2 linked regions of the Mytilus edulis genome follow. The protein of the gene in region 1 purifies or fractionates together with the protein of each later gene. This does not show direct contact. Links are inferred from orthologs where the notes say so. Each region holds a gene or a part of one and is shown in the gene's direction. Other genes may lie near its edges. The genes, in order: serine/threonine-protein kinase stk11-like and COP9 signalosome complex subunit 3-like.

Evidence for each region.
Region 2: the proteins of serine/threonine-protein kinase stk11-like (region 1) and COP9 signalosome complex subunit 3-like purify together in Homo sapiens (affinity purification with mass spectrometry; 5 studies listed by BioGRID and IntAct, with this or other methods). This does not show direct contact. The link is inferred for Mytilus edulis from reciprocal best matches to the Homo sapiens genes STK11 and COPS3.

Annotation. Positions count from the first base shown.
Region 1 is NC_092344.1:117,602,545-117,619,379, reverse strand, and holds the start of serine/threonine-protein kinase stk11-like, read left to right. Parts: upstream 1-9,750; 5' UTR 9,751-9,868; coding exon 9,869-10,206; intron 10,207-13,711; coding exon 13,712-13,795; intron 13,796-14,878; coding exon 14,879-14,968; intron 14,969-15,294; coding exon 15,295-15,427; intron 15,428-15,891; coding exon 15,892-16,028; intron 16,029-16,835. UniProt on the Homo sapiens protein: Tumor suppressor serine/threonine-protein kinase that controls the activity of AMP-activated protein kinase (AMPK) family members, thereby playing a role in various processes such as cell metabolism, cell polarity, apoptosis and DNA damage response.
Region 2 is NC_092352.1:14,415,669-14,432,437, forward strand, and holds the start of COP9 signalosome complex subunit 3-like, read left to right. Parts: upstream 1-8,748; 5' UTR 8,749-8,815; coding exon 8,816-8,870; intron 8,871-13,327; coding exon 13,328-13,457; intron 13,458-13,956; coding exon 13,957-14,069; intron 14,070-16,769. Other genes in the region: 5'(3')-deoxyribonucleotidase, cytosolic type-like, read right to left, coding at 1,700-1,814, 2,108-2,168, 2,964-3,064, 3,726-3,938. UniProt on the Homo sapiens protein: Component of the COP9 signalosome complex (CSN), a complex involved in various cellular and developmental processes.

The DNA of each region.
Region 1 (16,835 bases):
GAGGACGGCCGAATAGCATTATATTAAAGAACTTTAACAAGTGTCTGGCGTATAGGGAAATGCACTTCAGATTATGCATTTAAACGACAAAGAAAGTGCAAATAATGAAAACATTTAAAGAGAAAGCGAATTCAATAGTGTGATGATAAGATTGCAGATTGTCGATGGAACATTATTTTAAGAAGACATTAACATTTTACACATATTGAATAATAAATTGATAATTTGTTTCCACAACCCCAATGTAACAAGCTGACTGAACTTGGTTCATAAAAATTTACTTTCTTAATCTGAATAGTATGTATATATATTACCGATAACATCACCAGTCCAAATCAGAGCTCTATCATTTAGAATAAATATATTATGTCAAAAATAAACTTAACTGAACAAAAAAAAATAATTACTAAAGACAAGAATTTTGGAATTCCAAGCAAATAATCTGTATGAATCTAGTTTCATCGGCAGCACTTTTTTTTTTGGGGGGGGGGGGGGGGGGGGGGTATTTTTTAGAAAATTAATTGTTTATGGTGTTTGGTGTTGTAGATTTTAAAAATCTATTAAATCTTTCATACCTGAATGAATCAAACTCATTAATATAAGTTCATTATAAGTGTCAAACCCAAATTTAAAATTTACCTATATGGTTATTTTCCTTTTATATTTCACCCCAAATTCCAAACATTTTTGCTCTTTTAATTTGTAAATTTCCGTCTCCTACGGTAACAAATAAATGTTAAACGGAACAGTATTATTAGATTCCAAAAACAAACAGATACTTAATATCATTTTTCGGAGAGATCTTCAGAAAGTTCCATCTAATATTATCTTGGTAACACGGCTTCATCAAGAGCCCACTGGTGTACGGTATTTCAATTGAGGAACTTATGAATTGTCCACAAGTGGCGGTAACTATCTTTTCGCGTAAAAGATTTATTTATGTGTTAAAACCCCCATTTGCTATGTTAATTCCTATGATCAGTAAATTAACCCGAACTTTAACACGTAACAAGCCCAGTTAACATTATAATAAAGGTAAACATGTATATCTTTAGTTGTAATCAAATACCATAGTGACAAACTAAGGTATTACAAAAATGTATTTCTTTTCCTTTTCGGATACACAATTTTTAAGACGTACCTGAATATGTGTTATAACTTCAAAGAATTCCGAGTTTCATGAGAGAGAAGAGAGCCGCCATTTTAGCCAGGTTTTCGTGTTTACGAAGAAGCATTTTACCTATGCTGATTAACAAATTCGATCCAATTCATTGATCCATAGTTTCTATTGAAACCAGCTGAGCCGTAACCAATATCATAGGGTAGATTTCTATTGGCGTGTATTTAAATCCATTCATAGCCTAGCCCATGTCATTTTTTTCTAAGTTCATTATTTAGGTATTGAAATTTGAAAATTAATACATAAAAAGTTTGTAATTTTTTAAATTCCAAACGTCGGATTTTCTACAAAATATTTCAAATGTTGATAGTTATATACAAAAAGACGAGAAATGTTCATACGGGCTGTAGTATATGTACATATGTATAAATATTTTGTTTTAAAATGATTCTTAGTCGATGTAACTCAACTCATCAATCATTGAAATATCACAATAGTTTGTCATGATAGCCTAAGCAACCAACAAACAAGGAAAGGTTGCAAATACAACTTACTTACCTACCCACTTAATTGTTTTATGATATATCTAGACTTTTTCGGAAACGATTTTTTCAACTATAACTGTTCAAGTTTAGTTAAATTAGTCCAGTAGTTTCAGTGGAAAGTATTTCTGTCAGAACGTTGATGGACGACGGTACCAAGTAATTAGAACAGCTCGAGGGTTTGCCCTTTTGGGTAGGACTTTCTAAGGAGGAACCTGGACATAAGCTCAACATCCATTAAAGAGCAAGCATACAAGTCCCTAGTAAGACCATCACTAGAGTATGCTTGCTCTGTTTGGAAACCATACTTACAACAAGACATAGATATCATTGAAAAAGTTGAAAGGTGGAGTTTGTAACCAACAAATACAGAAACACATCAAGTATTGGTAACATGTTACAACACCTTGAATAGAACAGCCTGAAAGAAGAAAAGATTCAAGATTGGTAATTCTATATAAAATTGAACACGAAAAGGTTGCAAGACCTAAAAACAATAAATTAATCCCACAAAAAAGACATATCCGCCACTGAATGGAACTTCTACTTCCATTTAATTCAAATAAAAAGACAAAGGGTACTGCGTAATACCTTTCTGTTACGTTCTGTCATGTAACTTGATAAAAAGTACCATCATAGCCATATACAGTAATAGGTAGGATTATAAAGACACTTTTGCTGATGAAACACAAAGCTCACCTACCATATACCAAGCAGTGTGTGTAATATAAGTTAATACCATCGTATAATTCTAAAAACCTTATCATAATATACTGTCTATATATTGAATGACAAGACAGGGTTTTGACTTTTAATAACAGCAAAGAACAATTGTACAATTCCAGTACAGTAGATGGTAACAGAAAGGAATTTATTTTTTAATGTTGTTTTTTATTGCCGAGACAGATTTTTCATATAGCAAATAGAAGCTTAAAAAAAATGATTATTTTGCTATTTTGACCAATTTGTGATAATGTATTTTTCTAAGACTATCAAAAGAAAGGAATTGTTTTGAAAAAAAAATCTTTCCCGTTACCAACTCTGTCATGTTACTGAAGATTTTGTCATGTTACCTACAAATCTGACTATAATGGAAATTTACTATATTTCTTAACCTTATGTATTGTATAGCTAAACATATTAATTGGCTTTGGATAAAATTATGCAGGATGTGCTAGTAAACCACAAATAGTATCTTTACCTTATTCCTCATTCACATTAGAATACTTCTTAAATTGATTAAAGGGAAAAACTGGAATTTTTGGTACCATTTTTTACATTGGTAATATATAGTTCAATTATCACATTTATCAAATCTAAAATGACAACTGTTCCTGAGTCCACAATGTTTGTTCTTTGTTTTGTTTTGTGCTATTAAAATAGAGGTTCCAAAGACATTATTTTTGTGTTTTTCTCATTGCCCAAAAATAGACGTTTTCAGATATTGTCTCATATATAAATCAATCGAACAATATGTAATCATCGGATGAAGATGGAATATTGTATACCTAAACAAGAAGAATCGATGTCTTCTTGTAAGTTTCCTGTTGTGACATAAATTTCTACTTGTTGAAGGCGGTCACTCAATCGTCTTCTTCTTCTTCTTCTTCTTCTTTGATATAGTGGTGTCTAGATGTTCCGTGTAATGGAATCTGTTGGAATTGCTACTAGTCGATTTACAATTTTGCAAAATAGGCATAATCTGATGTTCACTCTTCGTTGGTATAGAGGTATCCAGTTAAGCTTGCTTATCATGCTTGTGACACTTGATTCGTTACTGTAGTCGTTGAAAATATAGCGAGCTGCTCTTCTTTGTATCCGCTCTATTTTGTCTATATATTATTGCGTATAGGGATCCCATATGGCTGCGCTGTATTCCACTCTTGGTCTTACTAGTGCATTGACAGCATTGGTTTTTGTTTGCTGTGGAGCTTTTTTGATGTTTCTGATGAGCATCCCTTGTGCTTGGTTTGCACTGGCTAGAATGTTGTTTATGTGTAAGTTCCAGCTAAGATCATCTTTGATGGTAATTCCCAAGTATTGTTTGTCTGTTAACTTTTAGTTGTTTCCTATGCATGTAATATAGTTCTTTAATTGGGTTTTATATCGTGTTAGGTGCATCACGTTACATTTGCTGACATTAAATTCCATTTTCCATTTCTGTTCCCATTTCGTCAGTGTTGTTAGATCTTTTTGAAGAATGGCTTGATCTTTGATAGTTCTAATCGGCCAGTATAGATGGTGTAATCATCAGCAAACAGATGGATTGTTGACTATGTTATCAGTGAAGTCATTGATGAAGATTAGGAAAATGACAGGTCCAAGTACACTGCTTGGGGTACTCCAGATGTGACTCCTACTTTGTCCGAATACTTAATTTCACGTACAACTGCATGTGTTCTGTTGTCTAAAAATGCTGTGATCCATTTGTGATTTCCCCCTCTTATCCCATAGTGTCTGAGCTTGTGTAGCAGGCGTGGATGGCTGACTTTATCAAATGTCTTTGCTAAGTCCAGGACTATTATATCTGTTTGTGTTTTACTGTCCATTTTACATGTTATATCATGTATCAGGCCTATAAGTTGTGTCTCGCACGATTTCTTACTTCTAAAGCCAGGTTGGAACTCGGATAGTATTTTATTAGTTTCTAAATGTTTCATGACGTTGGATACTACGATATGCTTCATAAGCTTGCAAAGGATGCAGGTTTAGTGAGACAGGTTTGTTGTCTTCAGTAAAAACTGATTGGAACTGATGGTTTAGCGTGTTGGCTTCAATGTCAACTGTGTCATTTGATGTTTGTCCTTCATGTTTCAATGGTGGCACTCCAGCTATCTCTTTACTCATGCATTTTAAAAACGAGATTTTTTTTTTTTTGGGGGGGGGGTAGTTTATAATCCGGTGCTATATGATGTTTAATTGTTGTCTGTGGTATGTGCTCAGTCTTGTTAGTAAGTTTATGTATCATCTTTAAATTCCTCCCATATTTTGTTTATATCTGTACTATACATTGAAGACCTGTTGGTGACCCTCTGCTGTTGTTTTTTATTTGGTCGGGTTGTTGTCTCTTTGACACATTCCCCATTTCCATTCTCAATTTTATTGCAGTTTATGATAACATCGTTTCCAAGATTATTTGCTTCTGCTTTCATGGTCCCAAAGTCTGCTTTCTTATATTGGTAAACTTTTCTTGGTGTCTGATTTTCTTTGATTGGTGTTGTTACTGCTTCGGCATAAACAATATTATCGTGTTCTCCCTGGACAGACTTCAGTATGTAAGCCGAAAGAGGTATGGTAAAAAAACCAGACTGAGATTTCTCTCCATTGATTTGCACAACTGTAGATCACTGTAGCTACAAACTGAGACTACCATGAGTTATAGTAGTCTCAGCGGCTACAAAATAAGATTTGACTATTTAATATTAAGGATTTGTCAACTGTGTATCTATGTGGCACTTGTGACAATCTAGTTACATGGGACGATAGAGGAATAGTTTGTGACACATGCAATCAGTGGTACCATGTGTCATGCCAGTCGATGAACACTAAATCGTATAATGAATATGCAAATGACAGTGGACTTGCATGGGATTGTATCACATGTGGATGTCCAAACTATTCAACACAGATGCTATTCATTAATACTTAGCACATCAAACAATTACAGCGTATTGTCTGACACCTCTCTTACCAGTCCAACGTCTTCAATAAATATGAGACCCTTACATGCTTCCACACCGGATAAAAACAAGAACAGAAAACCATCAAAGAAATCTGAAACACCACTAAGATTACTAAATGTTAACTTCCAATCAATCAAAAGTAAACAAGGACAAGTACTTAATCTCATAGAAAGCACAAACCCAGATATTATCTTTGGAACCGAAACATGGGTAGACAATAAGATCACTGGCAGTCAAATATTCCCTCCTGGATATAACATCTTCCGGAAAGACAGAAACTGTAGTGGAGGGGGCGTACTAGTTGCTATTAAAGATAAATATATAACAACAGCCGTACCTGAACTACAAACTGACTGTGAAATTGTCTTGTGCAAACTTTAACTCATTGGACACAAAGCCATATACTTAAGCTCATATTACAACCCCAAAACATCAAACGAGAATGGGTACTTAGGACTTGAGAAGAGCCTAACCAGAGCGAACAATATAAAAAAATGCTTTAATCATCATGGCTGGTGATTTTAACCTACCAGGCTGGGACTGGAAAACCAAATCACTGAAGCCCAATACACAGAATACCAACATACACCATAAGTTCACTGACATCCTGGACGATCATGGCTTACAACAAATGGTAGAGGAACCAACAAGAGAATCATACACACTAGATCTCATAATCACGAACTACCCAAACTGCTACAATAGAGTCGAAACCATATATATCGGGCATATCAGATCATGACATCGTCTTTGCAGAGTTGAACACCATACCATAAAAAAAAACCTCAAAAGCCAAGGAAAATATCCTTATATAAAAAAGCTAAGCGGGAAAACATCAAAGAAGATCTCAAATTAATAAATACAGATGTTACCAAGATGAACCATCAAGAATGTAGTACACAAGAAATGTGGGACTATGTTCAAGGTAAACTTGAAAATACTATAAATGCCAACATATCACAAAAACAGCTAGAACAAAAGACGGTAACCCTTGGATTACGACAGACATCAAACGCTCATAAAGAAAAGAGAAAAAACATTACAATAAATAAAAAGAAACAAGAATCGCTCAAGTTGATTTTTTTGGCATTTATCTTTCGTTAAAGGGTTTGAGTGTCCAATTTCATTGAATTTTGTTTTTAAAAAAAATTGTGTAAAATTGTCGTTAAAGGGCAATAACTCGTTAAGTGGTGAATTGACAATTTTGGTCATATGAACTTATTTGTAGATCTTACTTTGCTGATCATATTTGCTGTTTACAGTTTATCTTTATCATTAATACTATTAAAGATAATAACCAAAAACTGCAAAATTTCCTTAAAATTACCATTTTAGTGGCAGCAACCCAGCAATGGGTTATTAGATTCATCTGAAAATTTCAGGACTGATAGAACTATCTTATGAATACTTTTACCACGTGTCAGATTTTCTCTAACTGCCTTGGTTTTTAAAATATACGTCAAAAAATGCATTTTATCCCTATCTTCTATTTTTAGACATGGTGGCCATGTTTTTTTGACGAAACAGAAAATAAAACAAAAACTTTATTCTAGACATCCTAAGGATCATTCAGCTCAAGTTTGGTTGGAATTGGTTCAGTGGTTTCAGAAAAGAAGATTTTTTAAAGTTAGAAAACATGATAAACAAATTGTGTAAAATTGTCCTTAAAGGGCAATAACTCTTTAAGTGGTCAATTGACAATGTTGGTCCTATAAACCTATTTGTAAATCTTACTTTGCTGAACATATTTGCTGTTTAAAGTTTATCTTTATCATTAACACTATTCAAGATAACCAAAAACTGCAAAATGGCCTTAAAATTACCAATTTTACTGGCAGCAACCCAACAATTTAGATCCATCTGAAAATTTCAGGGCTGATAGAACATTACCTTAAGAACACTTTCACCCCAAGTCAGATTTTCTCTAACTGCTTTGTTTTGTTTTTTTTAGATATAAGCCAAAAACTGCATTTTACCCCTATGTTCTATTTTTAGCTATGGCGGCCATGTTTTTTTGACGAAACAGAAAATAAAACACAAACTTTATTCTAGATACCCTTAGAATTATTCAGTGTAAGTTTGGTTGGAATTGGTTGAGTAGTTTTAGAGGAGAAGATGTTTGAAATAGTTTACACCAGATGGACGATGACGGACGACGACGGACGCCAAGTGATGGCTAAAGCTCACCGTTTCGAAAAAAAAATCAGCTGATGCTAAGCATACCATCAAAATATAAAGAACTAAAAAGACTGGTAGTAGATATTTCCAATATGCTGGTATTATTTCTCTCTGTACGGTACAGAGAGAAATAAGACGAGCATATTGGAAATATATAGAGAATATAATAACACCTGATCCCAAAGAAGACAAACCAAACTGCATGAAACGTTTCTGGACATTCATCAAGCACAAAAGATCAGACGGAAACCTTATACTACCATTAAGGAACAATGGACTACTCCATCCTGAGTCAGTTGAAAAGGCTAACATACTAAATAAACAGTTCCAATCAGTTTTTCTCTGACAAAAAAAACAACTTTACAGAAACCGAATTCAAAAACCGTTGTGACATGACCAACAACAACTACCCTGGACTTCAAAAAAGACCTGAACATAACAGAAAATGGAATAGCAAAACTATTGTCCAACCTAAACCCATTTAAAGCTGCGGGTCCAGACACCATTACATCAAGGGTGCAGAGGGAATTAGCCATAGACATTGCACCAATCCTTACCACCATCTTCAGACGATCATATGAAACAGGCGATTTACCGGACATATGGAAAAAGGCTAACGTAATCCCAATATTCAAGAAGGGAAAACGGTTTGATGCAGTAGTCTCGCTTACCTGCATTTGTTGCGAAATCATGGAGTACATTGTAACAAGCCACATAATGACCCATGCTGACAAACACAACAGAGGTACAACATACTGTATCCACTCCAACACGGATTCAGGAGAGGCCTGTCCTGCGAAACACAACTGATTGAGTTTATTAACGATATCACCATAAACATGGAAAACAAACAGACTGCCTTATTATGGATTTTTCTAAGGCCTTTGATAAAGTAGGTCATAGCCGACTTACACACAAACTGGATCATTATGGCATAGGAGGGAAAACCAACAGGTGGATCACAAACTTCCTGGCCAACAGAAAACAAGTCGTAGTTGTAGAAGGGGAAAAATCTGATACAATCAACGTCGATTCAGGCGTCACACAAGGATCAGTTCTTGGACCCAGTTTGTTCCTTTTCTATATAAATGACATGCCAGAGGGAATCCGATCAAGGGTAAGACTCTTTGCTGATGATACAATCATATATCTCCAATACCATCAGACACAGACAGCGACCACCTTCAGGAAGATCTAAATAAGCTGGCAATTTGGGAAAACAAATGGCAAATGGCATTTCATCCAGATAAATGTAATGTTCTTATCATAACAAGAAAATGCAAGTCTATTATAAAAGAATATGTACTGCATGGCCACATTCTCGAATCTCTTAACTCCGAGTCTGCAAAGTAATTTGGTTGCACCATCAGCTCCGATTTAAAATGGAATGAACACATCAAAAACATATGTGTTACGGCAAACAAGACCATAGGCTTCCTCAAACGTAACTTGAACATCAATAACAACACAATAAAAGAAAATGCATACAAATCACTTGTAAGACCGACTCTAGAATATGCATGTACAGTCTGGGATCCCTATCAACTAAACAACAAAAAAAGCGACTGGAAATGGTACAGAGGAGAGCAGCCACATATGCACTAATAGATATCATAACACATCATGATTTGTTAGTGACATGCATAACCAACTGGAGAGTAACCCCTCGATGACCGTAGGAGGACATCAAGGCTCACAATGATGTAAACTTGCCAACGGGATGGTGAAATTTGACACCACTTATACTCTCATTCCACCAGATAGGCTATCCAGAAATATCAACACTAATGGATACCAAGTACCATCTTGTAGGACCCAAGTGTGGAAGGAATATTTTTACCCAAGGACGATTCGAGACTGACTGGAATGCACTACCACATACTGCCATCAGTGCAGATAGTCTTGAATGCTTCAAGACTTACCTACATGAGATGAACTAGATCAACTTCAAGATGTTTTTAAATTCACTGTATATATATGATGACGGTACAGTATGGTGCCGATTTGAAGAATGACCATAAAAAAATTAAGGCTCATTTGACGGTAACGGTCGCGAAAATGCGTGTTTGTCTTCGTAGACAAAAGATATATTTACACTTAAAAATAATATGGACACTTTTAGTTTTGATACCAAAAAGTATCAACAAAAAGTAACACATTTCAAATGTTATATTTCCCGCTATATTAACTTTTCTTTTGCTGATTCCGGAACACGAAACGACGTTTTTAAACCAGTCGCCTCGTTTTGATAACTGTCAAATATGGAGTCGACCAACTTCCTCCAGCCACTTTGACATGAATGTGATGTTAGGTTTCCAAAATTTAAGAAATAGTCCACACCAGTTATGGCAGAGAATGTTGTGGTGCCAACAGATATATTTCTTGCACCCAACGAATATGGCCATTCTACCCTAGAACATGTTGATCAACTTGATTTCCTTAACGATAGTGATGGAGGTCTTCCCTTTTTTCACAGAGTTGAATCTAGCGAAGTCGTTTATCAGCCTCGTCGGAAAAAGGCAAAGATGGTTGGAAAGTATCTTGTTGGCGATCTGTTAGGAGAGGGTTCATATGGAAAAGTTAAAGAAGTTATAGACACTGTCACACTATGCAGAAGGGCTGTTAAAATTTTAAAGAAGAGGAAACTGAGAAAAATTCCTAATGGAGAACAAAACGTTTTAAGGTTGTTATTTCCGAAGATCACATTTGAAAATGTAAAAACCAAAATGTTTGCTCATGCCACAACATGTGATGTCAAGCATATTTAAGGCAATGTCTTTGATTATGTTGAAAACATAAATAAAACAAAAATATATGGCAGTGTCTGCACTAGTCCAAATAATTATGACGTCTTGAAAGGCTATTATAATTTTTTTCTTTGACACCTTACATCGACGTCATAATGCTGAAGCCGCCATTTTCGGTTGGACTTTGAGAGCATATTTTGCTCTCAACTTTGAGACCCAATTTAGCCACAAAATTTTCATTGGAGGCTAAAACAAAATGCATAAACAAAAATTCTTACCTTTTATGTGTTTGTTTGTGCAAAATATTTCCAATTAATCCCTACAGAAATAATAATATAAGGAACAATTCCATCCGAGGCGGGAACATGTCGACTGCATTTTTTAAAACGTTTGTCTGATTTCCTTTAAGAAGATTATAAAATAATTTTTACACCAAACTCGGTAAAACCCGAATTTCCGGAACCATTGTTTTACATTATCCGGAAATTCAGGTCGGTGAAAATGTACCGAGTTTGGTTAAAAAATATATTTTATACACCTAAAATGAAGCATCTTTAGGAGAAATCAGCTAAACGTTTTAATAAAGCAGTAAATTCCTTCTCAAAGTCCAACTGAATATATGAGTTTGGCGTTATGACGTCGATGTAAGGCGTCAAAGAAAAAAATTATAATAGCCTTTCAAGACGTCATAATTATTTGGACTATGTCTGCACATACCTTCATGCAGGTATGAATAGTCAAATTACCATTCGTAGGCTATGCGTACCCACCGGTTTTATAATAAAAATGCTGTGGGATTGTAAATGAAAGGTGAAATATAAACGGAAATTATCAATAGTATGGGGATTTCATGTAGACCTCAATCCTCAATCTTAAGGCCTGTTGGCACGAATTGTCTCAATGTGCGGTTTTCCTCAACGTATTTTCTTTTCTGTGCTTTAAATTGGTACATGTATGCGCTGGTTAAGATTGGGATTGTGGGACAGTAGTATTAAATCTGCCCGTTCTGTCAATGTAATGTGCCACTGTTTGTAGTTTGGCTTTTGTCTCTTCTGTGTTCTCGCCGTCCAGTCTCGTTAGCTAAATTCAAGTTTCTGACCCCGACCTCTTTGGATATTTGGTGTAACATATCTTCTCGTTCGTTTTCATAGCAGGGACATTCCAGAAGAAAATGTTGAGGCGTTTCATGTGCTCCACAGTTGCAGGACTCTATGGCGTTGGTTTGGCCTACTCGGTTTTGTAGTAATTGAGTTCTGTATAGCCAGTTCTTAGTTGGGCGAATATACTGTAGAACAAGTGAAGAATATGAAAAATAATATTTTCAAATTGTATTTTTAAGATAATAATATGTAATGAACCTTGCAAATTAAATGCTCATGCACTATGATGCACTGATGGAAAATGAAACTTTACAGTCCCAGTAAAAGAAAAACATGATAAAAATTAATACTATCATAAAATGTAAATGCAAATTACTGAATTTGAAAAATACCCATATGAGATTTAAAAATAATCTTTAAGTAAAATGTTAAACAGAAAAGGAAATTTTAAAATATCTTAAACTACTAAAATTAAAGCTTGGGTGTGTATATAAAAATTTAAAAAGCAATTAATATTGTCAAATTAAACCAACTTTGTTCCAGCTTTAGTCAAGCCAAGTTTAAAGTGGAAATACATTCCATTTGGAAAGTACTGAAAGTAGACATATATATCCTTTATATCATGAATGGTTTAGAATAGAAAAACAAGAAGTATTTGACATAAAAAAAAACTTGACCATAGAATGAAACACTGCAAATTCAATTTAAACTATAAATTTTAATCGAATACCGATTGTATTAGGCCTTTTTCCTGTCAAATTTTTCCTGCAGCTGCAATTGACTCTGAGTTTCTTTTATACAATTGTATAAAATTAGCTATAGTTGACTGAAAGTTTTGAACAAATTGTTCCAATTCATGATAACTTGAAATGTCTTCCCCACATGTATATCACTCTTCCATTTTAAGAATATTTATTAACTGAGAAAAACTGTCTATAAAACTTCGGAGTAGTTTAAATCAATTTATTCACTAATTGCAACAAATTCCGTATATATTTCACATTCCATTCTCAATCTGATGCCATTTTATTATAAAACCGGATGCGGGTATGCGTAGCATACAAACTATTATTTGACTATTCGTACCCACATACGGGTACATGCAAACACTGCCAAAAAATATTGTTCTGTTGGACACTAAATGGCAGAATGCTAGGCTGGGTTAGAAACTGAGTAATTACAAACATTAGGCCAAATAAAAATATATGTGTGGTTCCAGTTACATACTTTTAAAAAATAGGGTTGGTAGGTCGGCAATTTTTTTATTTGTTTTTGAATTTTATTTTTTTTGAATGTCAAAATCCGGAAACAAATCGTGTGTTTACCGAAATTGTTTCCGGTATTATACATGCCCCAACCTGAAGTCCGCCATTTTTACATGTGTTTGGTTGTAAAATAAACAGTCATGATACGTTTTAAGTTAATTTTGTTGCATTCTGTTATGAATTGTTGCATTTTACCCATAACAGATACTTGTGATGGAAATTCAGATTACAGAATTCTATGAATTTAATTATTTTAATTCACAATCCTCAAAATTTTAACCTTTGAAAATTTATTTTTCAGAAATAAAAAAAAAAGTTCTAAGGTCGGGGGGTTTTAATTAGGGTCTGTCGGGTTACTGGAACCACACATATATTTTTATTTGGCCTTACAAAAATATTTTGTGTCTACATTTAAGTCAATGCATTTCAATGTAGCTGGGAATAGTAAAAAGTCTTAAAAGTTAAAATATAGCTTGAAAATTTGTATTTGTAACACTACAATAGCCAAACACTTAAATATTTCATTTGGAAAGTGCTAAAAAGACTAAAAACACAATGCTTTGGATCAGTACAACAGGTTTAAAGAATTTGTTCACAATTTTATAGTTCAATGATGCAGACACATTATAGACTAGTATTTATCAAACTAGAAATATTGTCTTACGTCTATTTGCAAGCTCACTAGAGCTCGTGTTTATGTAGTTTATTGAATATTGACTCTAAAAAAACTTTAAATTGAATAGAAAAGATATCTCCAGCATTTTCCAGCAAATGTTGGAATGTCAAAGTTTATTTTAAGTTCCTACTTGACAAGATTTGTAAACACAAGACACAACCACTATACAACTCCACACTGTCAGAAGAGACATCAAATGCTGCCATTGGTCAAGAATGATGTATTTCGAATAAGCATGACTTTTATCTTCCAGCAGATGATGTAGCATTGTAATAACAAATGTTGTCTTAATCTGCCCGGGGTTGATAGGAGGGTACTAGATCATAACTTGGTTACAGAAGATAACATTGAACATACTGAGATGGTTGTTTCTTAATTGGTTCATGCATTTTTTTTACAGGGAAATTCAGCTTTTAAAGAGGCTTCACCATAAACATGTAGTTTTCTTGGATGATGTCATCTTTAATGATGAAAAGCAAAAGATGTATCCTTTATAATCATATCAAAGAAAGTCAGATGGGTGTTTGGTAAACTTACATGCAATAAAAAAATGAAATGCAGGGTCAAAGGAAATCAAAATGATAGCTTAAAATTAAATTAAATAAATTTTTCGTTTATACCGAGGAGATATTCAGATACATGTTTACATATATTTGGCCCATTTCTTTTTTGTCTTTTTGAGTTTGCGCAAGAAATTTCAATTTTATGACAATGCATATCATGCATATATGTTGTAAATTTGTACTTGATAAAGGTTATTTTGAATCTTGAATCTGTCTTTTACTGTCTTTGATTATGACTATAATACAGAAGGAAAAAATGTTTCTTAAAAAATGTCAAAAATTATGACGAAAGTTCTCACAGATTTATTAATAGATATTATTGCAAAAAAAATAATTGATTTGTGGGATGTAAGACAACCAGAAATCATTTAATATCAGATTTATGAGGAAGGCATTACAACACGGCTAATTATTAAACAAGTAAACATATCTAATTACAAGAACAAACTAGGAGAGTCATTATTGGAGCCAAGGGGTAAATGTAGAAAGTGATTTCCTTGGCAGTTAGTTGTCTTTTTGTACTCTGTATCATCAACTCATAAACCAACTATATATTTGAGTGTAAGTTTTTGAGACTTATTATTTGTTGTCCTGGTATTTCTCAACTCTGATTTTACTTTTTGTTTCATAAATCTGATTTTTTTTCAAAACAAGTAGGCAATTTTTATCGACAGCCACCTTATAAACCACTGATTGGGTAGTACCAGATTCACACCTGAGTCTAATAAATGAAGCACCATGGTGATATTTTTACCATTGTTCTCTTATTAGTATATGAATAGGTTTTATAATAGAATAAATATTATAAATGTGATGCCATAAGTTTAAGGAGAAAGTACTAGAGAGATCACTGTCGGAATAATTCTGTAAAACTTTCACCAAATCGTTCAGACAAAATGTCAATGTCAGTCTGCAAATCTTTTTATATAAACTTTAGGTCACCTCACCAACTGGTTTGTTCATGAAATATTTTGTTTAATTGTTTTCCTTAATAAAAAATACAGGTATATTTTTATGGAATATTGTGTTTGTGAACTTCAAGAAATGTTAGAAAGTGCTACAGATAAAAAGTTCCCAATCTTTCAGGCTCATTAGTAAGTATAAAAATAATTAAAATTATATTGAAAATTGCATTGTACAAGATTACAATACCTGTAATAGAATTGTTAATGAATCTTATTTCAAAGGTTTATTTCAGCAATGTCTTTTATGATTTTGAAAAACTGTTGTATGATTTAAAAAAAAATGAATTATGTTTGAAAATCAGTGATGATCAACTTAGTTTACAGAAGTTATGGCCGTTGGAAAAAGAAATTTTTTGACAGGTTTATAAATATTTTGACAACATTGATAGGTATTCAATAGTTTTATGAACTGAATCACAGATAAAGTATTAACATAAGCATATATATCTTTTCAGTTATTTTAAGCAGTTAGTAGAAGGATTAATATTTTTACACAGTCGAGGTATAGTCCATAAAGATATTAAACCTGGTAATCTGTTACTAGCCAGAGATGAGACGTTAAAAATCACAGATTTTGGTGTGGCTGAGGTATGCACTTAACTTGACTAAAAATAAACAGGCCACGTTAAAGATCATTGTTCTGGAATAATTAACATCAAAGACTTTGGCTGTAGATCAGCTCACAATAATTAACATTGGAGTAGTTTACAACGAGTATAATACCCTGGATCTGTTGTCATCAAAAACAACTTTAGTTAAGATCATTACTACAAAAGTAAGACTGCCCAGTCTGAGAAAATAAATGTTCATACAAAAAAAAGCTAAGGTTCATTTACAGTCACATCACTGCACATGGTAAGTCAATTAAATTTTACCTGCAGTCTTCACCAGCATAGGATTTTAAAATTTCTATCAGGCCAATAGCAATTTTGCAAAACATGAATATCAGGCATATGGATGTAACCGTTTATCTTAATAGAGTCCAATATATTGAATACTAGTTAATTATTGAAAAATAGTTAAAGCTTGATAGTCATTGGTGAATATTGTAGGAGATAGCTTTACATGCATTTGATGATACATGTCACACAAGTCAAGGTTCACCAGCATTCCAGCCACCAGAAATAGCCAATGGGGAGGACAGTTTTCCAGGGTTCAAAGTTGATGTTTGGTCCAGTGGTGTTACATTGTAAGTAGTTCCAGTGATCTCTGCCATTCAGGGATTCAGTAATCAGTAGATGGCTGAGTGTCCTGTATACATGTACTTCCAAAGGGTTTCTTAAGGACTGTAGTATTATCTCTGTCAGTTTGTAAATTCAGATAGTATTCTCACTACATCTCCCTGATTGATTCAAACCTTTTATACACTGTTTATAAGGAAAGAGGTACTACATTTTACTACACAATTTGTCTTTGCCGTTAAAACTTGAATGTTAAAATACAATTTATAAATTTGTAATACTTTGATCAACTTTGAATTTGATAACAATTAACAGAGATCAGTTACTTTTATGTCATTTTCACTCTTAGTCATTTCTGAGTTATGGTTCTTGCTTGATACTTGGATGAAACGGAAACTTTTGAATTTGTCAATAAATTTTTATACCCTGACTTGTGTGTATTTACAAGCTAGGACATCTGTGGCCCATAGACACATTCATATTCAAAATTATGATTGAGATGTTCTCACTTTTCAAATGCTGTCCTCTGTTTTGCATTGACCATAAAAATGGTCCTATAACCTAGATACAGGGGTTACAACAAATTGTTTAAGTGACTTCTATTTATCACAATAGTTTTACCTTATGTTTTTTTCCGAGGTCATCCGTTAAGTTGAATTTATTAAGTGTGACTGTAATTTTTTTTAATGTATTTATCAAGCTCTTTTTAGAAGATCACAAAAAAATAAGTTATTTTAGTGAAATTATAATTTTATTAAAAACCAAATTAGAGTATGACAATAATGAATTGACAGAACATAAATTAATAAAAAAGG
Region 2 (16,769 bases), on another chromosome or scaffold:
AGATCAAAGGGACATGTATTGGTGGCTTACTGTTTGTATGAATATAATCATATAGTGACCTCTTCTTTCTTTTTTTAAATGTGGGAATATGATGTTATTTTTTCTGGAATATTTTTCATTGTCTTCAGTTTAATAAACAAAAAGAAATTGAGAAGATTTTCCACTTTTCAGTATTACAATTAACATGTATAATATCAAATTCTATTACTGCTGAATATAAAGATTTCTATATTTTTGACAAAATCTTTTCATACATAACACAAAACCATCTCCATTTGTAAAAATTAATTGGTATTTTTTAATGAGCATATTGTTGTGGAAGAAATAGACTAAACATAAAAGAGACATCAAACTCAAATAAACTTCTACCCGTATAAATAATGGTTTACTTTTACAAATTGTGACTTGGATGGAAATTTGTCTCATTAGCACTCATACCACATCTTCTTATATCTAGATAAAAACTCAGGTTGTATCACTATGTGACTTTGTAAAAAGAATCTGGAAATACTGAAATGTGTTCTTTTTGTTTGATATTCTGTAGGTACGGGTGCCTTTTCTTTAAACGAGTACATTTGTAAAATCCAAGATCAATAGAAAAGCAAGTTGGTGTAATAATTCAATAACATTGTATATGTAACAGCAATGAGAAACTATGAACAAGCAAACCCCTCACAGTATATCAAATTAAACCTATCAAATGCAAAAAAAAACAAAAAAAAGGCAAACAAACCACACATTGTTCATCAAAATAAAACCAAAAGAGTGATTGTATTCTTAACAAAACCATCTTGAGACAACTATCCATGAGAGAACAGATGATGAGGATGTAAATAACTGTAAAAGTCACCATACAGCTTTCAACCATGAGGGGCCTGATGGGTTATATTCGTTCTTCATGATCGGTGCATTTTTGCTATCGTGATCCTTTTTTCTACAGATTTTTATTTCTTATATTTTTCGTCATCCGTGATGATGGAAATTTATTTTCGGTGAATCTTGATTGACAAAAAAATCAACTTGTGAATAGTGATGAGACCCCCCCCCCATCAGGCCCCTCAACCATGATAAATAAACTATTTAACATTTGATAAGCTTTAAAAGGTACATTCATGAAAAATGTAATTTTGACAACCAAAAATAAAGCTGAGAATAAAAAAATTCAAACAATATGTTCTTATAAATATCAACCAATTAAAAGCTGAGAACATTGAACCAAACCATATTTTTCATTGTTTATTTAAGTTAACCAATGAAAACTTAGAACATCCACATGTCAGTAAGAATTATTTCCAGAAAGGTATATGTCCTCACATAATATTGAGAAGAAATAAATTAATCAGGTTAGTTGAGGGTTGTGCTTACATGTTTCACCCCACCACACTCTGTATGTATGTGTCTGTCCCAAGTCAGGAGCCTGTATTTCAGTGGTTGTCATTTGTTGATGATTGACATATTTTGTTTTTCATTCATTTTTTGTACATAAATAAGGCCTTAAGTTTTCTCGTTTTATTTGTTTTACATTTGTCATTTCAGGGCCTTTTTATAGCTGACTATGCGGTATGGGCTTTGCTCATTGTTGTAGGCTGTACAGAGACCTATAGTTGTGTCATTTGGTCTCTTGTGGAGAGTTGTCTCATTGGCAATCATACTACATCTTCTTTTTTATATGTATAGAGATCGATGAAGCAGAACTTACCTGTTATATGGATCTTGTCATCAATCAAAATATCTCCATTAATCATAGTTTTATCTCTCGTTAAAATCAGTCTATTTATCCAATCTGGTCCTAAATGTTTCTCTACCCATTCATACTGTAAATGTAAGACTTTGTTAGGTCAAGTTAGTCTTTAATCTTTTTCATATATTGATTTGATGAACGGGGGTCTCCTTTAGCTTTTCTGTTAGGGTTAAACCTCAAACCATCATTAATGCTGTGTAAACAATAATGAATCAATTATTATCATCAATTTTTGATTTGAATAACTTTATATTTTTGACTTTTTTGCTACAAATTTAAATATGTAGAGGATTTGTAGTATGGCCCAGTATAGTAAAGGAAAACCCCAGAAAATTCAGTCATGCATGAAAAAAGCATTATACTCACTTTTTCTGGTGCACTGTACTTGTACTGAAATAGTGGACTAGAACAAATGAAAACTTCAACACTGAAAAATAATTTCAAGTAATAAATTCTCAATTCTTGTAACAGTCCAGATTTTTCTTCCAGAATTATCAACCGTTCTTTGACAAATTCACTCAATATAGAAAGCCACCAGGATTTCTTTACCTCAGCCAGTATAAAGTTGTTGATAGGAGTTCAGTAAAGAGTGTTTAAAGGTATCAGTCTTGCTTCACCATTGGATTTCTACATGATGTGTTTTTTTTGCAATTTCATTAAAAATTCATGAATATGGAAATTTTGCCCATGAACATGGTGGGTTTGCCTTTTTACTTGTAATAATTTGTAACCCTCTTGGTATCATCTTATTTTTTTAAGTTGTATATTTTAAGCAACTTTAATTAAAGATAAATCTATTTTATCTGACAAAATATTACTTGTATTAAATTTTATTTTCAGATAAAGCTCAGGCATAGATTTATTTGACAGAAATTATAAAAAGGGAGTATAATCAAAACTTTCACTAAGATAAAATAAATGCTGAGTTTTCACTCAGAAAAAATAAATGCTGAGTAACAAAGTTTGAACAGCATGATCTTCAAATCCATTCCCAGATCTCATCTATAAAAAGTGACTGGAAAATATATCAAACTAGCATTTTTTCAGAATTACAACATATTTTTATTAACATTGGCTAAATCTCATAAAAAAGTTGCCTCATTTTTTAATTTGTAAATCACATATACCTTTCAAAGTGTAGTCAAAGAAGATGTTGGCTGTACATCAATGAGACAGTAAATATATACATCAGATATAAAACAGAGAAGGCTTTATTTCTTACCCTTCCATTTCTGCCATTTCCTTGACAGCATCACATCCACCTTCTATTTCTGGTAAATCACGGAAAAAGTGTTCACTCCTGTAAATCTTCTTTAATTCAAGCTATAAACAAATAAAATATTTGTTAGTCCTCTTAACAGACTTTCAAGATGCACTTGTAATTATTCTTTATGAGATTAAATTTAATGCATTAATTTCACCTATATGTATTATCTTCCTTTTGAATGTGTCAACAGAATATTTCATTTATGTACAATTTCATCATAAACTACTGCAAAACCTGTGACTCTGATGATAAATTTATTCTGTAATTTAGTACATGTACCGAAGTTAACAAAATATCGACACTTGGATGTCCACAGATGAAATTGTTCAATTGTTGTAACTACAATCCTAACCATTTTTCCCTAAATCAGACTTATCACAGAGTTTGTACTAACATGAGCCACACAATGACTGACAACGTGTGGAGCAGGATCTGCTTGTTCTTCTGGAGCAACTGATATCAACCCCAGTTTTTGTTGGGGTTCATGTGGTTCAATCTTTAATTTTCTATGCTATGTTTTGTGGAGCTGTTGTTAGTCTGTTTGTCTTTTCCTTTTTTTAACCAGGTCGTTGTCGGTCTGTTTTAAATTATGAGTTTTAACTTAAGGTCCCTTTTTTATCTTTCACCTCATTTATACTGACTATTTTTCACCATTGAAGCAACATATAAGATAAAATGAGAAAATGGTTTTTATTTCTTAATACAGGGATCACTCACTCTAACACTATCATCTGTAAAATTCAATTTATCATACTGATCAGCAATATAAAATGTGTTTCTCTTCTCTACTGGAATATATGGTTCATTAGGATATTTTTCTCTAAACTTGATCACGAAATGCTTTTCAAATGCTGCCAATGTCTCATCAAGATCTATCAAAACCATCAACGTTCTTTGTGCCATACTTCCTATTCCTCTCCTTGCTGCCATTGTTTACTATCTGAGACTAGTCTTAGTTACTATGAATTATCAAAAAGTGTCAGTCTGAAAATATAGGTGTACAGTAAAAAGGCATTGCTACATCTTTAGGATCTCTATCAAAAAAATACTTTGAATCTTCTGTGAATACTTTAAATTTTGTTATTGTTTTTTTTTTATTCTCTGTGCTATTATTTCAAATCATTTCATATGTAATGGCTGTCACCACATGTTCATGTATCTGTCCAAAGTTAGCAACCTCGTAAATGGTTTTTTTTCTATAGGTGATAATTGGTGGATTTTAATAATATGATGAATTGGATATTTATCTTTTAGGGTTAGTCTGGATTGGATGATTCTGTAAAATTGTAAAACAATGAATCAGCATAATTGTTCTCAAAACCCTACACTTCATAGCCTTAAAGCAGCAAACCCTGTACAGTATTGTAAGCTAAACGAGGCCTTATTCATTGTGAGAAGAGGACATGGCTAACAGTGTGCCTTCTATCCAAATTAATTCAGACATCAAATGTTAGTGTGTCTTGATAAAAGAGAAGTGGAAGAATACAAAGGAGCATTATAGTTGATGACAAACTGATAAAGCCATGTAAAAAAAAAGAAAAACAACCAAATCCCAGAAATCAAGTGCTTGTAAGCACTGAATGGTAAAGATTGCTTTAATTTATCAGTTGGAAGAAAAATTTAATATTGCATTGGTTGTAGATGTTTTAACAGCAATTCTAGACAAAGGAAGATAACTCCATTTTTTTTTTAAAGATGACTTTAACAATGGCATCATTTATATTCTTAGAACAGGTATAAAATTCATGCCCTTTATAGCTTGTTGTTCGGTGTGAGCCAAGGCTCCGTGTTGAAAGCCGTACATTAACCTATAATGGTTTACTTTTTTTTAAACTGTTATTTGGATAGAAAGTTGTCTCATAGGCACTCACACCACATCTTCCTATATCTACCTAACAAAAGTTATGTAATTTTCATGACAAGTGTAACATCATTTTGTGCCTTGAATATCTGAGCATATATTACATTGTTAAATTTCTGGAAATGTTCATGGACAGGATATATAAAATATTATGATCAATACACTATAATATGTGTATCAATAAGGTTGTGATAAGTCTTGGAAGAATTGATATCAAGTCAATCCCATAAGGTTTTGATTGAATTTCATGCAATCTTTACCTTTAAAATTATGACATAGAAAAGAAAAGACTAAGCAACAGACCCACAAAAAAAACAAAAAAACTCTGGTATATTTGTATAGATTATCGGGTTTTCTACACATTGATATCGTTAAATATCAGAGCGAGCCACAATGCGAACCTTTTTGGCGAGTGAGCGTAGCGAACGAGCTAAAAAGTTTCACATTGTGTCGACCGGCTGATATTTTACGATATCTATACGTAGAAAATCCGATTATCTGTTTATCGTTCTATTAATGGTATTTTTTCCTCTCCCTAAGACAGTTTTAAGCTTGACGAAAGCAAGCTTGATAACTTCTCCTCTCGCATTGTGACGTCGCTGATAACTTCTCCTCTCACATTGTGACGTCGCTGATAATGCCTGGTCTCGTTTTGAAGTCTTGATACGAGAATTACTGAGCGACAGAGCAGGGTGATATAGGCGTAGGGAAGGACGATAATAAGATTTATTGGGATAAAAGACAACTTCAGAATAGCAAAATAATGAAACTTTGAGACCAAATGTCATTTCCCAAAAATGCAATTAGAGCAAATTGAGTTAATCATATTAAAATAAATAGGTAATAAAAAATTAGAAATTATGTGTTTTTGGTTTTTTGATCTTTAAATCCTGATCCATTATCTCTATTTTTCCAGATTTTCTCTTTGGAGTAGTATCAGTAATGCCCCAACCTTATAGAATAATAGGTTATGCAATTGTGATAGTTGTGGTTTTACCATCAATATAGTTTTAGTAACAAATGTGAATTTAACTAAGTTTCTGGGCTCAAAGTTATCAGAATTTTCTCAGAATTCTTACCTGTGTTTAGTTTTATCTCATTTCATTAGTTACAAAGGTTTTAGGTTCACATTTGTTTAAAGTCTTTAAGTTTTTATTCATTTTATACTCAACTGATTTTACCTTCAAACCAGAAGTGGGATTTAGCTTGTGCAGAAGCACAAACTTTTAGTAACCTAATTTCATTGGTATATTGATAATTATTTCAGTCAATCAGAGCATGATATGTTAAAAATTTTCAAAGTCTTTCAGGAAGATAGTTATTTCATATCCTAAAAGCTAGGTATTTTACAAAGTAAAACCTATGAACTGTAAAGGGTTCATTCAAGTTAAAAAGGTCATACTTTTTTTACCATATAAGTCTGTATATTCCTTATATTCATTGGTACATTTTGTACATGTCTAAAGGCGACAGGTATGTTACCCAATGGAATTGTATTCAATTCTAGTTTTTGATACCATTTACTTAGATTAGTATTAGAGAGGACTGTTTCAATCCATTATGTTGGTATTCAAACTTGAGCAATTTTGTGGTCTATAAAGAGTTTTCTTTTTTTTTTGTTAGATGACTTTTTGTTAGGACGATTTTATAGATGGCACTGGCTACAGTTACATGGAAATGTAACAATAATAAAAATATTATTGTTACATTGGAGACTAATTGCCGGAATGCAAAGTTGGGTAAGGAACCGATTAATTATGAATGTAACAATAATTATTGAGGCTACGGTTACATTGCATTATTGTTACATGAAAAACAGCAATGTACGCTAGATTTATTAAACTTAAATCTTCTATTTAGTTTTGTTGCTTAATTCATTCAGGTCTACTAAATAATACTTGTTATAATAATAAATATTATTATTCAACAAATGGTGTTTAAATAGTTTTAGGTATTAATGGATTTGATGTTCTTAAAGATACTAGGCAATATAGGAAAGGTGTACCGACATAAGTAGTCTCTAAACACATTAGCTCCAAATGGAGCTTTCGTTAGTTCTTAAAGATACTACTTCAAATTAGTAGTGCCAAAGGCAAAAAATATAGTTCAATGGTTTGTTGTTGAAAACTCAGGCTGAGAAAACTGTTCACTTTTAAGTATTTAACTGCACACCTACTCGTATTACTGTCATTATACTTTGAACAAAAGATGAAGAGATTCCTATTACCAATTCTGTTTGGGTGAAAAATTTAAAACTTGCATGGGATGCGTTTGAAACGAAACTGAAACAATATCAAGACACAAATTTCATACCGCTATACAACGCACTTACCAAAAATTGGTACATCAAAAAGTTTGCTGACTGTGAACTAACACTGTGAACTTCTGTATACATGTATAAAATTGAGAATGGAAATGGGAAATGTATCAAAGCGACAACAACCCGAACATAGAGAGACAACAGCCGAAGGTCACCAATGGGTCTTCAATGTAGTGAGAAACTCCCACACCCGTCAGAGGCGTCCTTCAGCTGGTCCCTAAACAAATATGTATACGAGTTCGGTGATAATGGACGTCATACTAAACTCTGAATTATACACAAGAAACTAACATTAAAAATCATACAAGACAAACAAAGGCCATGCAAAGGCACCTGACTTGAGAAAGGCGCAAAATTGCAGCGGGGTTAAACATGTTTATGACATCTCAACCCTCCCCTATACCTCCAGCCAATGCATAAAAAACAAACGCACAACACTACGCATAGTAAAACTCAGTTTAAGAGATGCCTAGTCCGATTTCAGAATCCATGGAGGACGTACTATAAAAAAATCAAAAATTGTATGTTATACTTGTATGTATTGTAAATATAAGATAATGTCTTCAACTTTTATTATTTAGTACATATTACTAGTCCCATCGAATATTGCTGTTTTTCATGAAACAATAACGCAATGTAACCGTAGCCTCAATAATTATTGTTACATTGGTAATTAATCGGTTCCTTATCCAACCATGCATTCCGGCATTTAGTCCCCAATGTAACAATAATATTTTTATTATTGTTACATTTCCATGTAACTGTAGCCAGTGCTTGCTTTATAGATACTTCCAGTAGGTCAATTGTCAAATCCTGGTTTCAAAGTTAGATAAATAAAATAAATAAGTATAACTTGTTTGATATTGTAAGCTGATTAAATTTTGTAATTTGTTATAATAAAAGTTGTGCTTTAAAATCTTTGTTTTTCAAAGCCTATACAAGCATCTGATGATCTGAGAGATACGAACCAGGACAGGTACTTACCAGGACAGGTACTTTACTACACGGTCCAGGACTAGTCCCAATCGAACCCCACAGTATACTGGGACCTGTTCCTGTTACACAATGATCTAATAAATGCAGAGATGTGTTTTGTGCAGTTGCTTGAGGATTTCAAGACTCAGGCTCTATACAAATTAAAACAGGCTTTCAAGTTTTTTGAAATAGTTGTTTTTTAGCTTCATTAAAATTCCTAAGTTTATAAAGATGTCAGACGTTTGTTCTATTTTGGAAGAAAGATCCTTTATACATCAACCTATTTTAAGTATATTAAATAGTTCATATTGTTTCACTTGCTTTATGAACATGTATATAGAATAGAATAGAATAGAATAGAATATATATATACCATCTAACGTCCCATAGACTGTCGTTCTATTTAATGACCTATTTGTTTATTACCGCTTAAGATCATAAACAATTGACATGCATTAATTTTGATATGATTTCCACTCATTTAGTTTGTAGAAAAAAAACATTTTGAAATTTGGAATTTCAGATATTATTTTTAAATGTATATTTACAAGTCATAAGGCTTTTTAAGAAAAAAATAGATATTATCTTATTGTTGTAAGCGACAACTGAACATTGGTGAAAAATCCTGCTTCTAGAAAAATATAACAGACTATGGCCTCAGTCTTAGAGCAGTATGTCAATACAGTACAGAACCTGTCTTCCCAAGGTATAAGAAATAATTATTTCAGCATTAAAAATTAAATTCAATCAACTAGTGTAGACAAATCTTACAGTTACATGACATTTGAACCCCATCTCCTAAAATAAATGAAAAAAAATCATCATTTTACTCTGTCTTGTTGAGTGGGTCCGGGGTAATTCCGTACACTTTCGGTCCTAAATGAATATCATTTGGTTCCCTGTTTGATACAACAAAGTTCAAGAAGGAAACCGGTAACTAGATTATTCGTAGATTGTAGACGTGTATGACTTTTTCTTTAGCAATCAACAAAAAATACCAAGAATGACTAAATCGTACTGAAAAGTCACAGTAGGGTAAATACGTACGCATGTCGTGTATCTTCGTACACCATGATGTGTAATTCCGTACAATTATATTACATCGATATAATTCAAAATACTGTTTCTCTTTGGAAAGAGCTTTCCTGATTTTTGTCGAGCCTTCGACTTTAGTCGAAAAAGCGAGACTAAGCGATCCTACATTCCATCGGCGGCGGCGGCGTCCACAAATATTCACTCTGTGTTTAAAGTTTTTGAAATTTTAATAACTTTCTTAAACTATACTGAATTTCTACCAAACTTGGACAGAAGCTTGTTTATGATCATAAGAAAGTATCCAGAAGTAAATTTTGTAAAAATAAAATTCCATTTTTTTCCGTATTTTACTTATAAATGGACTTAGTTTTTCTGCGAGGAAACATTACATTCACTCTGGTTAAAGTTTTTAAAATTTTAATAACTTTCATAAACTATCCTTGATTTGTACCAAACTTGGACAGAAGCTTGTTTATGATCATAAGATACATTTGTAGTATCACGAAGAAAAATTTGAAAAAAAAAATTTCCACTTTTCCGTATTTTACTTATAAATGGACTTAGTTTTTTTGCCAGAAACAAAACATTCACTCTGTCATGTCTGTGGTTTAAATTTTTAAAATTTTTATAATGTTCTTAAACTATCCTGGATTTCTACCAAACTTAGACAAAAGCTTGTTTCTGATCATAATCACTTTTTCCGTATTTTACTTATAAATGGACTTAGTTTTTCTTCCAGTTAACATTACATACAGTCTGCAGTTAAAGTTTATAAAACATTTATTAGATTCATAAACTATCCTGGATTTTTTTTTACCAAACTTGGAAGCTTCTTTCAATCAAAAGACAGTATCGAGAGGGAAATTTTTATTGATGTTTTTCCTCATTATTGTTGAGTCTGCGATTAACAACAAAAGTAGGCGAGACACTGGGTTCCGTGGAACCCTTACAATTTTTTTTTTAAAATAGAACTTTTTCCAAAACTCAATCGGCAGTGAATATGGATAAAATTAAAAGCTTTATTGCATATTATTTATAAATTAAAAAAAATGCAGGCATGGAATTGGATCATACAACGTTTTTTTTCTTATAAAAAGTTAAATCAACTTTGTTGACCTCTAGTTGTTAACTTATAGCTTGGTTTATCTACTTTAGGGCAGCAATATGATCGTGAATAGTCTTTACAGGAACTCCATATTTCATGGAAGATTTTCTTAGTGACATATTGTTGTGTTTGACATCATTTACAGCTTTTTGCAAACTTTCAGTGGTATAGCTTTTACGTTTTAGGAGAGTTTTCCTTTTTTTGGCATAACTGAAAAAAGAGAAGACAAAAGTTAAAGAAATTGATAAATATTTTATTAATTACAATTATCTCAAAGAAAAAGTATGTTTAGTCAGACCAGGACTGGTATTCAAACTCATCAGTTGTTTCTAAAAGTGTCCTCAAATTTTCAAGATACGGATGTATTCCTACAGGTAAGTTTGATAATTGATGATGATGAACCAAACTTCGCACTTAATAAGTTAATGGTAGTTCTCCTACTTCATATGATGATAACCATTTTTTAACAACATTCAATGCAATATTTCCAATGGTTTTATCGGAAAGCTAATGTACAATGCAATCAACCACAAAGTATTGCTTGACTTCATGAAACATTGGCATGTCTAGTTTCATAAGCTGCCATGCAATTAGGGAGGAGTAGTTGTTATGTATACCAATATCTCTGTTCATTAAATATATGACAACTGAATGTTGATTCATAACTGAAAAATATAAAGAATGGTTTCTTTTTTTACAATTTATTTCGTTCTACGAATATTGTTGATGCCAGTTAACTTTGTATCTTTTTTTTTTTTAATTTGCTTCTCTTATTTCAGTTCTGTTTTAATTGATAGACAAGTACAGAAATCGTTACTCACCTTTCCCACTTCACCCGCTTATTACTATACACAGGGTCAAATTTTGTAACATCATTTCACGGTGAAATAAAACAACGTGAAGATAGTGTCTGTATTTATGTTTATTTTTTGCGTAAAGTTCACTGGTAAAAGCAAAGGTTAGTAATATATAACGTTTCATTTTATAACATGATATTTCATATATCTGAAAACTGAAGTGTACGATATTAGACTACTTGCATTTTAATGTAAAATATCACAAAGGGTAATACCGTACACCCACTCCTAGTCATATTTTTGGGAAACATCTTCACAAATACTACATAAAACAGTATATGTCAATTGTAAAATATTCAGGGCATTCATTTGCCATCAATTTTCTTAAATTTAGATGCAAGTAAAAAATTCTTACCTTTAAATATCGAAACTTGGTTACTAGCAAAATCTGGTGACTTTTTCCACAAGACTAGCTTTCAAAAAAACCTGCAAATCAAACTTTCCGATCAATCGTGATGCGTATATATTCTGTGGCCATTTTAACTTTAAAGCTTAAAAAAATAAGGTCGTAAATATTTAATTATCTATATACAACACTAAAACACACTTTATTAATCTTATTTATTATAAAAACAACAGAAAAACAATATGTACGGTATTAACCCGACTGTACGAAATTACCCGGACCGACTCTACCATATTAAAACTAATCATGAATATTTTACATTTAACAAACTTTAAATGATGTTGTTTGTCAGTTGGAAGAATTTTTTTCAATTTCTTTGGTAGTTTTAAGTGTATATATAGTCCAAATAATTATTATGCCTTGAACTGCAGTTCTTTTACAATTGTACATTTACATTATACTTCTACCATATATATACATTTAGTGACTGCCTTCAACAAATTGAATATCATTTCATTGGAGGAAACTTACAACAAGACAGAAATTTATATATACAAAATTAAGGAATACAGGAAAATGAAAAATGCTATGTATATTATAAAGTTTGATGTAATAGTTGAGGTAACATAGATGCTTAGAAATTGAAGATTTGAACATGTTAAAAGATTCAGCAGGGTTTTTACTAAGGCGAGTCCTTGAGTCCTGGACTCGTGAAAATTTGTCAAAACTTGCGAGTCCAACATTGTCCAAAGATGCATCAAGATTGAAATATTTTTCTATAAACTGAACAAGTGTAAAGCAAAATTATATCTGGGTGAAATTTGATCCGGAGGAAAAAATGTCATAGTAGTTGTTGTTATTTTTTTATCCAGAGGAAACTTATTTCCCTGGGATATGTTTTCCTTTGCTGTGGAATTCTATCTGGGAAGTTAACTTATTAAATAGATGATAGTTATTAGAAAAAAAAACTTAATCTTTACAATACAAATACTATGAAATAATAATCAGTGATACAATGTAATACAAATGTAATGTATTTGAATTTATAGAGCTAAAATGTTACAAATTATCATTGAAAAAATTTCAAATGTCCAGTGATTTCCTGCATGCCATCTAGCTAAAAATTAATTATTTAGATAAAAGAAAGGTTTTATAGTACAAAAGTTATTGAATTTGAACCAAACAGACTACCAAGCATGCAAAGCAAAATTTATTTCAATCTGATTTTAATTTGACTTAAATGAAACAAGTTTTATCTGATGATGTAACTTTTTTAATAGAAATTGTCTAAATATGGTTAATCATCAGATTGTAGTTATAAAGATAATCTTGAACTTATCAATTTTAATCTTTTCTGTCCCTTCAGAATACTAAAACAATTACAAGAATGATTCTATTTGTGTTACATTGCCGATATAACGAAATCAGGTAATAGATGATATTACTGGCCATGCAGACACCAGAGATTCCACTGTATATGATTTTTCTGATTTTTATTATTTGGACTTGTGTTGCTTTGGGGAGAGAAGTTTTGCCCCAAAAAGGACATGAAGGATGCATATGGCTGTTATATGATTATATTAATATTGTTATTTCTTGAAAATATGAACTTTGTTGCATATATTTGGGATAGTTTTGTTGAATTTAAATTTGGAATAATAAAAAAAGTAAGTGGGCTTTGAATTAATATTGTATATTTCAATCAACTTTTTATTTTAAAACTCGCACATAGTGTTGTACTTTACACTCATAGTCAAACACTAAAACACATAGATGTGGTGTTTCCCATTCTTAACAAATTTAATTTACTTCTGTTGTAGGAAATTTTTCTCAGCTGTGTGAATTCATTGGAAAAAGTGCAGATGCCCTAACCAAAAATGCAAGTCATTTGGACAATGTGTTAGCAACATTAGATATTCAGCAACATTCTCTAGGAATTTTGGGTATTTTGTAAGTAAACATATTCAGATTTCTTTTGTTTATTTTGTTAAATGATTTTTTACTGTCAGTAACACCACAAAAGACAGATAAAGATGTTCAATATAACAATTTTAACCAGTTAAAAATTGGTACCACCGCAGTTATTTTCTTACTACATGTAACATAACAAAAATAGATACATTTCTTTTAAATAAATTAAAGATCTGACATACAAACCTTTAAAAGAAGTTTATTTCTACGGTTCATATGGATGTTTTTATTTTACTTATGCAGGTATCAATGAGAAAGAATACTTTTCCATCTTTAGTTGTATCTAAAAATGTATAACAAATATGTTTAACAAAAAGGAAACTGGTCACAAAGAGGATACTATTTCATATATTTATATCATTATTTCTCAACAAACCAAATGACATTGGTGTAGAGATAATTTCTGATTATTGATGTAATTTCTGTTGAATTGTCCTACATTAACCATAATGTAATACCCAATGATGTATTGTTTCAGATGTGTTAAGTACAGTTTACCAAATATACCAGATTTTGAGATTTTATTTATACAGACTCAGGAATTCATCCATAATTGTAATGGAGAGCATGTCAGATATGCCACAGACAGTTGTAAGTTTATACAACAAAATAATCTTTATTAAGACATAGTTGCCAATCTCTGACAGTGTCTGAGCTACCATTGAAGCAACAACACACTTGGCATGCTCAAATGAAATGACCAAAAACAAAATTCATAAAAAATCATAACAGTCAAATTTTTTGCCTTGCTACTATTGGCAACTTTGGTGTGCACATCATTATAAGTCTACCTACAACACTGTCTGACAATGACAAATCAAGTCAAAAAGCGTGTGAAAACATGTGACATAAATACAGACTTTTTAATATGAACATTGGCATGACACGGGTTATGTTCTTCTCATATATGTTATGATGGTATGATACTAAACCCCTAACAGGAAGGATTGTGCCTACATTTTTTATGGATTGTTTCAAACTATTGATTAAAGTTGCTTAACTCTGAGGCTATTATACTAATTTCAATATATTATGGCCCAGCTTAATAACTTTTATATTTTTTTATGAGAAACACTGAATTTCATACACAAGATAATTTTTAATTAAATTGTAATAATGATATATTATAATTTCTTTACATTTTCTAAAATAATTTTTTTTTTTAGTGCTAGATATTTAGTTGGAATAAGTTTCTCACAAGAACCTTAGTAAAACTTAAACAACTTTTAATTTCAAATGTTACTTTAATTGTATTTTTTTTACTCAAATATGAATTTTACTCAGATATGAATTGAACAATATAAAAAGAACATTATTTACATATGGCCCTTTATACTATTGTAAAATCCAAACATTGTAGCGCACCGCACGAATGAGCACTTCTCTTTCAAATCTCACCACTTCTCCCTATCAGTTTCAAAAAGAGAAGTCACTTCTCCCTATAATTCTGAAGTAGTGTGAGCCCTGGTTTAACCCCGCCGCATTTTTGCGCCTGTCCCAAGTCAGGAGCCTCTGGCCTTTGTTAGTCTTGTATTATTTTAATTTTAGTTTCTTGTGTACAATTTGGAAATTAGTAAGGCGTTCATTATCACTGAACTAGTATATATTTGTTTAGGGGCCAGTTGAAGGACGCCTCCGGGTGCTGGAATTTCTCGCTACATTGAAGACCTGTTGGTGACCTTCTGCTGTTGTTTTTTTCTATGGTTGGGTTGTTGTCTCTTTGGCACATTCCCCATTTCCATTCTCAATTTTATTATACATTTTTTATATTAAAGTATAATTCTACTGTAAACTTTTATTGCATTCAATAGTCTGTTTTGCTGCATTCGCAACAACACAACTAGGCACATATTTCAAAACATCTGGCAGTTTATTTAAGGTGTTGTCTTATCTTCTTTCTTTATATATTATATACTGGTATGCATTTAAAAGTATACCAGTGATATAGCAAATATAATAAAATGGAGAAATTACATAAAATCTTAACAACAAGAAACACAAATGTTCAGAAATGATGCAGTGCACAAACTTTAAACCCTAGCCTAAAACCCAAACATTATTTTAATCATCTACATACTGACGAAATTTGTTACAATAATCACTTTGATGAGTTTTGTGAATTAAGCTATAATTTTCCTGAAAATAACCCATATCATGCCTTTTTACTAAGATATGGCCACAGACCACAATTAATTCCTCTATCAGTTCTTTATAACGTTTTGCATCATTAAAAAAATTGCACCATGCACTTTTGTCAAATTTTGTGTGTGTAATGTATAGTCCTAGTCCAAATATATATCCAAAATTCAGAAAGATTGAACCAATCACTTTTACAAAGGAGTAGGTCCGGTAAGGACCGATTTTGGCCTCAAATTTCAGGTTCATCTGACGAAAGATTTTGACCACTTTTTAAACACTTAAGTGTCTATTTTATTTGAATTAATTAGTTTATGTGAAAGATTTTAACAGATTTAGTCATTAAAAACGATCTGAATGCTCAAATATGAAAAATCTACCTGATATGCCAAAAAATGTCACTTTTCAGATGTTTTTTCGTAAAAATGAAAGTGTTCATCCTTAACCTTTATATATGTTATGTATTATCATAAAATACAACTTACATTTCAATATTAAGGATGAACACGAATGCGTCCACTTTCGTTTTATACGAAAACCGTCTAAAATTTAACTAAAATGCTAGAATTATGTGGATTTCAGTAATTTAGCATGACTTAATGGTGCTAGTACCGGATATATGTGCATTGTATTGTCAAAAACAGCCCATATTAATGTAGCAGAAGCATTCTACTATCCAATAAATAACTAAAGGTTTACATTTTAACAGTTTTGTAAAACTGCTATATTTTGGGGCCAAAAAGGTGTCTTACTGAACCTACTCCTTTAGCCAATACACATGCATACCCCTATTGACAAGCTAAGAGATGTTCCGAAAACTGTAAATATTACCTTTTTGCACTTGGCCTAATCACTCATTCCATATCAAAATCAGTTTAAATACAACATCCAAAAATTTATTTCACCTCTCTTCTTTCATTTCCACCCAAGAAAATCTAAGAATTGAGTGAGGAAGGGAAAGAAAAATTTTAAGGAAAAATACACTCTAATTAAAAGGAACTATATTCGTGGACAACGAAAAGCAGGGTAATAAATTGTAGTCTTGGGATGACAAAGTAATTTGTTTTGGATGAATGGTTGGAGCGGAAAAATATTAAATGGATATGAGTTGATTTTCATGTCTCTAAGATACATTAGCTGACTTTTGTTTAGCTT